2 linked regions of the Oryzias latipes genome follow. The protein of the gene in region 1 interacts with the protein of each later gene in a pairwise test. Links are inferred from orthologs where the notes say so. Each region holds a gene or a part of one and is shown in the gene's direction. Other genes may lie near its edges.

The links. The genes of interacting proteins can lie anywhere in the genome.
Region 2: the proteins of araf (region 1) and nelfcd interact in binary tests that used the Homo sapiens proteins (3 or more experiments, as listed by UniProt). The link is inferred for Oryzias latipes from reciprocal best matches to the Homo sapiens genes ARAF and NELFCD.

What each region holds. Positions count from the first base shown.
Region 1 is NC_019867.2:28,410,335-28,413,834, forward strand, and holds part of araf (serine/threonine-protein kinase A-Raf), read left to right. Parts: intron 1-1,525; coding exon 1,526-1,629; intron 1,630-2,768; coding exon 2,769-2,871; intron 2,872-2,996; coding exon 2,997-3,151; intron 3,152-3,500. UniProt on the Homo sapiens protein: Involved in the transduction of mitogenic signals from the cell membrane to the nucleus. May also regulate the TOR signaling cascade. Phosphorylates PFKFB2.
Region 2 is NC_019863.2:26,966,359-26,970,611, reverse strand, and holds the start of nelfcd (negative elongation factor C/D), read left to right. Parts: upstream 1-1,453; 5' UTR 1,454-1,612; coding exon 1,613-1,669; intron 1,670-2,402; coding exon 2,403-2,515; intron 2,516-2,647; coding exon 2,648-2,757; intron 2,758-2,832; coding exon 2,833-2,942; intron 2,943-3,033; coding exon 3,034-3,141; intron 3,142-3,421; coding exon 3,422-3,574; intron 3,575-4,253. UniProt on the Homo sapiens protein: Essential component of the NELF complex, a complex that negatively regulates the elongation of transcription by RNA polymerase II.

The sequences.
Region 1 (3,500 bases):
AGCGGGCATCAGGTGTCTCAGACGATCCCGCCGCCACCATCCTTCATGCTCCACACGCCAAAGATCCATCTCATGTTCCGCTGTGTTGTCATATCAGTGTTTGTGTCACATCACAACAGCAAACACACATGTTTGTGCCATCAGGTTCTTCCTGTTCCCTTCTGCTGCTGAAAAACCTAACCTTTCCAAACAAAAATTCCCAGCATGCAAAGGGGGTTTTTTCCTCTCCCTCTGACATGAAAGCGTCACAAAGTTCAGTTTGATATCTGCAGCTTAAAGCGTCTTTGGAATTCCGATGATTTTCACCTTTTACCTCTTTTTTTCCCAAGTGCGGGGTTTAGCTATCTGTAGCTGTTGAGAGGAAAAGCCACTGAAAACATTTGACAGCAGGTTTGCAGAGATTATCATAAAGTAATCCCTAAGAAAGAGGGCGCTCTCTAATGAAGGAGCTGCCAGAGCCCCGCCCCCTCACAGCTACCTCCATCAGAAGGTTATTTTCTGTGGATACCTTCAGAATGACTGTCTAGCTGCAGCATCTGAATGTGAGGAGGATTGCAGGTACCTGGCCTTGAGAACTGGTCTGAAGAGCAGAGTAGTCAAAGATGATGACATTGAGATCTTCAGGAACATGGCTTATAGTCCCATCTTTGACTCTGGTCAGTAGCCTCTGTGGATGGAGGCTGGTGCTGAACCACTTTGACTCTGGTTTAGGAGTGCGTCAGAACACAGGGGCATATAAGGCTACATACACACCTGGCAGGGAGGCAAAGTTCAACGATTGTGACAGCTGAAGTCCTGGTCTGTTTGAGCCGTTGTGGGAATCTGCCCCATCTGCTTGTTTTGACCATCAGGTGTCTTTAAATGCCCACTCCAATGAAAATGGTCTTTTTTATGTTTTTAAAATGTTCTTGTGGCATTTTTCTGACGACGGACGCAATATAAGATCTATATATATAATAATATAATATAAGACATCTAAGATAGCACAAGGGTTAACCTTTAATCACCAGTGAAGATCACAAATCATTGAAGAAAAAAGGTTCAGCGCACTGTCTAGTGGGTCTAGATGACCCAAATCCCAAGTGCCTAAGATAGCACAAGGGTTACAAAAATTAGCCTTAATTTTGGATTTCTGAGAATTTCTTTATTCCAATCATTATGAATCAGGAGCAGATGAATAATGCCTTTGGAAAAAGATTGTAGCAGTAATTTATTGACAGACAAATGGATCCATGAACGTCTTTGTTTTCCTCGCCAGAGCTGGAATCTGGCTCTAAACTGTACGACTGGATAGCTATAAACAAATGGATGACGGGAAGTAGGGGCAGGCTTGTACTGCACCAACAGTCGCTCAATGCAGATGGGAATCGTTTAATGAACTCTTTAGAAAATGACAGTTTTTTTTTTAAAATTTAGGCTGGAAACGACATAATTACTATCAAAAGGCCAGTGGGAAGGCTTTTACAGTAGATCAAAAGATGATCAAAGGGAAACTTGAACTTTTCACCGCGGTGTGTGTCTGCAGGTCAACGTCCGCCAAGGTCAGACTGTGTACGAGAGTCTGGATAAAGCTCTCAAAGTGCGAGGCCTCAGCCAAGACTGCTGCGCCGTGTTCCGCCTCCTGGAAGGGTAAGCCCCCCTATCTGCTGTATGCCCCCCTCACATCCTGATTGAAAACCACAGCACACACAGCAAGACTAGTTTAGGTTAACATAAACTCATCAAGGTGATTTGGAACTGAAACGAGTAAAACATTTTTATGAAATGGACTCAACTGGATCTGTTTTGTTTTTAACCACTATATTTAGTTTTGTCTGCTTTAAAAACCTCCAGCTCACTTCAGTTTCATCGTTATAATTATTGTTTGAAAGCTCGTGCACAAAACTTTTTTCACCAAAAGTTCTTTATTTAAACCAAAGTTCTGATTTAGACACCCAGATGGTGGAATCCATTCAAACATGCAGGTTTCTAAAACTGTGTGGTACAGACTTTAGTGCAGACCTCTCTTTATAAACATCCATCTGTGGGTAAACGAATGTGTTTTTCCATCATCCAAGCTAATTTATTCATGAAGAGCCATATTCATGAGAAAGAGGAGATGAGTGGAGATAGAAGGTGGAGGGCGTCTCAAAGGGGAAGATGATCAGAAACAAAAAAGATGTATACTGATTTGATTTTTGTCAGTTGGCGGTTAGCACATGTCATGCATCAGCTGCCCCTGTTTCACAGCAGCTGTGCAGTTTATGCAGCAGTTGCATCGTTTTCACGGTAGTGTTGCATGTCATGCAGCATCTGCACAGGTTATGCTCTCGAGTCTCATCCACGTTTCAAATTTAGCAAGTCACAAGCTTTATCTTACAGGTATGCTCTGTTTTTAATTCTTAAGGCCTGTACAAAATAGTATTATACGGTAGCCGTTTATTAATTTAATCTTGATGGATCTAAACCATAATCATCAACCAAAACCTCATGTTGCAGCGATGACAAACTAAAATAAGTAATACTTTGTAATATTTGCTAATGGAAGTCACGTCCTCTGATAATAAGTGCACTTAAAGTTTAATTTTTACAGTTTCACCTGTGCAGAAACATCCAGTGCTCCACAAAGTGTCCTGGAGTCTAAGCTTCACTGACGATTGCTTTCTGCTGCTAGTTTGCACTCGACAATCTTAGTTAAATCCATCTGAGCCTCCGTCCAGCTGTGCAAAAACTCTTTACATCTCCACGTCTTCATGTTTCTCTTTTCCTCCTCTTCCTCGTTGCTCCAGTCGTAAGAGACTGACTGACTGGAACACAGACATCACTCCTTTGGTTGGAGAGGAGCTGCTAGTGGAGGTTCTGGACGACATTCCTCTCACCATGCACAACTTTGTGAGTGTCTGGAAGCGCACAGCATCCCATAAAAATCTTTGAACTGACTGAGGTTTTCTATGCATTTTTGTCTCAGTCTTCCTAGGGGACGTAATTAATGTCTTGATGGCTTTTTGTCTTCTTAGGTACGGAAAACGTTTTTCAAGCTGGCCTACTGTGATTTCTGCCACAAGTTTCTTTTTAATGGCTTCAGATGTCAGACATGTGGCTACAAGTTTCACCAGCACTGCAGCAGCAAGGTCCCCACCGTGTGTCTGGACATGGACACGGTGAGCAAGCGGTGAGTCGGACTTCCCTTCTTCTTCTTGATCACATGAAGCAACGAGAGCAGCAGATGCAGCAGACCAACACCGACAAGGAAACATCCACAACATGTCAAAATAAAACGATAAAGAAAAAGGCGAATGAACCCAAATAAAATCCAAATTTGAGGTTTGGCATCACAATCTTCATGTTTCATCCAAATGCTGATGTTTTCTGCTCAGAAACGGAAAGTCTTCAAGAACCAGTTTATTTTAAATATTAGAATATAGCACCATTTATTTTGCAACATTTTGCTTTGTTTTTTGATCAATTTTGTGCAAGAACTCACTGACCTGTTGACATATTTATTGTTGTGCAGATTGTGT
Region 2 (4,253 bases), on another chromosome or scaffold:
AGTGAATAGTTGGAATTCTTGATGCGGCTTGACTTTTTCCGGTCTCGCTGCAGAGGTTAGTTACCCTTTTGGCTCCAAGCAGATCCTGGTCAAATCCCATCTGAGGTTCTGTGCACGCTGTTCTCCCAGCGTGTTGCAAATGTTTTATCCGAGTGTTTTTTCGTTGCCCCAAACCATCTGGTGGATCTTTGATTCTTTTTCTATTCAGTCTGTGAATTTTTAATGCTGAGAAATGGCATGGGACCTGGCAACCTCCACGATCCAGGATGGAACATGTGAGTGAAAAATATGGTGAAACAACAAATACTGGTCTTGGAAATCAATGGCCAAATATTTAAACATCAAGTTTTACATGTTGCTTTGAAATTATACAGTCTAGAGGACAGTATGGTTTTCCTGAAGAAGGTCAGTGTTTGGGCTAACAAAGTTTTGGGATTCCTATAGAGATATACAAAGTTCCAACTTGAAGAAAAAATTGAAACAGTAAATATGAAATCTACAAAATTGGGTAATAAACAAAGCAAAAATACACTGTGCATCACTTGAGGCATAAATGTGTAAATAAATACTTTTCACCACCTATGGTTTCAGTCATGTGTATGCAAATGCAAATAATCTGATCCCAAACATAAAGACTTTAAGCATAGTCCATCATTTGTAAAATGTTTTGATACTTTAGAATATTTATTACAAAAAACAGCAGAAGTTTGATTTAACTTTTGGTGTGGTGGCTCCAATTTTCTTTTTCTTCTGGTTGCAGAACAAATGTCATCTTATGGAGAGCTTCTATGAGGTACATTTTTCTTTTTTAGCTTATTGAGCACAAGATAGGTAGCTAATTTATTTTTCAAACAGGGTAATTGAAATTGTTTTACATGAATTATTAAGATATAGATTTTAATTATTAATGTTACAAATAAAAAAAAGACATTGAAAGACAGTATCTAATCGAACAAGTTACAATAAAGCATTTTGAATCTATGAATGCATTTTTCTTCTTCTTCCCACTCTCCTTTCTAGATGCTGCTCATAAAAAATTAAAAGAAAAAATATGTGAATGTGTGATGCAATTTAAATACCTAGAAATATTAACGTCTGTATTGAAAATCACTTATTTGACCATCGGTATACTGGATGTATGTATGTATGTATGGATGGATGTATAGATTTGTATGGATATATCTATAGATGTGTTCATATATGTAAATACCTGGTCTGATTGCCCCCCCTCCCATTTTTTTAACCAGTTATATATATGAAATTTGTGATTTTGACACAAAGAATGTAAAGGTAACCAGTTTATTACTGCTCAAGCCTTTTATGGCAATTTTTTTCTTCCAAATATATTATACAGTTATATACGAGAGGAAATGTTTTAAGACTTCATAATTGTAAAGGAGTTAGAGCCTTTAAATCTGAACCAGGGGCTACCCAAATAGATTTGGGGGCGTGATCATGACGTCACATCCTCGCCATTTTCCTGCTGCTGTTGTTGTTAGCCTATTAGCTAAAATATCAGCATTTGCACAGAGAAAAGGCGGGTCTGCGATACATGTACCCCGCATAGCTCAGCTTCTGCAGTGAGTTCATCGTGACTGTCGTTCCTGCAGTCATGGACGAGGATTTCTACAGCGGCCCAGGCGACTGGGAGAGCTCAGACGTGAACGTGGTGAGGAACCGGGGCTTGTTGCTGTGTGCGCCCGCTCCTAGCGACAAGAAGACCGGAAGCTTTTAGCTAAATAACCGGGTTTGACACACCGAGAGAACGGCTCTTTCAGAGTGTGAACGCTGAGCACTTTTCGAAGTTTTAAGACCCTCCTTTTATTGTTAACTTCGTCTTTCGGCCAGTATAACAGAAGTGTTTCAAGTACCAAAACAGTTAGCTTTGTCACGGGCTAGCATCACTTCAAAATAAAAGTCATAACCAAAATAGCCTTTAAAACAAAAATTAAACCTCATGTGGTTTATTATTGGGTTTTTATACATTAAGGTGAAATGTAAAATAAACCAAAACAAGGATTTTTTTATAATCATGATTTTTTTCTTACCCAGTTTTCATTTTGTGCGGGGTCTTGTGTGTGGGCTGATGATTTATTTTGAATTTAAATTTGTATGTTTATTTAAATCTTTGTTTTTAACTGTAAAGCGCTTTAAGCAGTTTAAACGCATGACAAGTGCGTTTTTATTAATAAAGCTTGATTGAATTTGTTGTAGATGATCTCTTTCTTCATCATCATACTTTTAGCTCGTTTTTTTTTTGTCCTATAAATGGGCTGATACTATGATTCTTTTGCCCTGATTTTTTTCATTAAGGAATTTGTCTGGGTTTATGAATCCATTAATGCTTATTGACACGTTTATGTGTTAAATTGAATGTTGGAGCTTAAACGTTCCTGTTACAGGAGGACGGTCACATGGAAGGAGAGACCGATGGTGCAATCCAGGAGGCTTGTCTGCAGAAGTTTTCCAGCAGGGATTACATCATGGAGCCTGCTATCTTCAGCACCCTCAAAATGTAAGCTTCTGGGGTCCAAATCCAACAGTTTAGTTTGTGTCATTTCTTTTATGGCGTTCTATATTGGTGTGAAGATTTGCTTTTGTCATATTGTGGCTTCTGGGAGACTGACAGCCGTTTTTGGTGTTGCAGGTACTTTCAGGCCGGTGGCTCTCCAGAACATGTGATCCAGCTTCTGTCAGAAAACTACTCTGCTGTGGCTCAGACTGTGAATCTGCTCGCTGAGTGGTTAATCCAGATGGGTAACTGATTCAATTATTTCCTATTTCCTGTATTTGTTTTGGAGTATGCTCAATCCTCATTTTTCCTGGTTGCAGGTGTAGAACCCGCTCAGGTCCAAGAGCGTGTGGAAAATCACCTGAAGAGTCTCCTCATAAAGCATTTCGACCCCCAGAAAGCAGATTCTATTTTTACTGTTGAGGGAGAGGTGAGCTCTATTTATCCTATATTTTTTAATGGATCCTCCAATTAAAATTGAACCAACATGAAGCTCCCATGATGCTTTGCTCCGTGTTTAGACTCCAGCTTGGCTCGAACAGATGATCGCACACACAACCTGGAGGGATCTTTTCTATAAACTAGCTGAGGCTCATCCTGACTGTTTGATGCTCAACTTCACAGTAAAGGTATCACAGTGGTGTTGTTAGGGCTGAATTAAAATGTACTTTTTTACTGCCCTGAAATGATTAATTAGGACTTTTTATTTAATTGTTAGATAAACTAAAGCAATCTTCTCTTCTGAGTTTTCTTCTTTACCATAATCTCAGAGTTTTTTAACATTACCCCTTTGGAGCATTTTGGCACCTTGAAAATAAATTGAATCTTTATTATCTTTCGGTATTTCTGCATGACACAACCACGCAAAGTTTTACCTCCAGTTTTCTGTTTTTCCTCTCAAACGTGTAGCTTATTTCTGATGCTGGTTACCAAGGAGAGATCACCAGTGTGTCCACAGCCTGCCAGCAGCTGGAGGTTTTCTCACGGGTGCTGAGGACATCTTTGGCCACTCTGCTCGATGGAGGAGAGGAAAACCTGGAGAAGACCCTGCCAGAATTTGCTGTGAGGCTTTTGTGTTACCAATTAAAGCACCGTTTCTTTTTTTGTTGTAGTTGTAGGAGATTTAACACTTTCTCAGATTGTTCTGTCCTTTGTGTGCATTCTTACTTGCTGTTAAAGTTTCCACGTTTTCTCCACCATGTTGCTCTACAAACTCTGCATTTGACGCTTTTCCTCTGGCGTGTGGTAAAGCAGCTCAGCCTTTAGGGCCAACCTGATCTGCCTTTCTTGTCTTTGTTGGTTCCACTTTCTGTCACAATAGGAAATTTGGAGCAATCCTTTTTTTTTTTATCATGGGTGCAAAATCAGTTTTTATTTAGAGTAAATCTGGAATTAGATGTGTTTTTCATAACTAAATTTCATTTGATCACTTACTAGGACTTACTCCTACTCCGATCCTCTTTAGGTTAGAAAAACGTTCCCAAATGTTTTTTTTTAAATTATGATTATGCCATTTTTAGCCAAAATTAAAAAAATCCTGTCATTTTCTAGGATAGTTTCTGCAAAGCGGCAGTAATTCATTAGAAATTTGCCTTTTGAGTTGTGGGTGGGACTTTTGGCTCAGAGTAAGTGTGTCCCCACTTCCTGTCACCCATCTGTTTACCCTCTCTCCTGCTAGCTTTCAGCACCTTAAACCCTCAACCTGAGCAACATTGGAGCTATCCAGATGTACAGTTTAGAG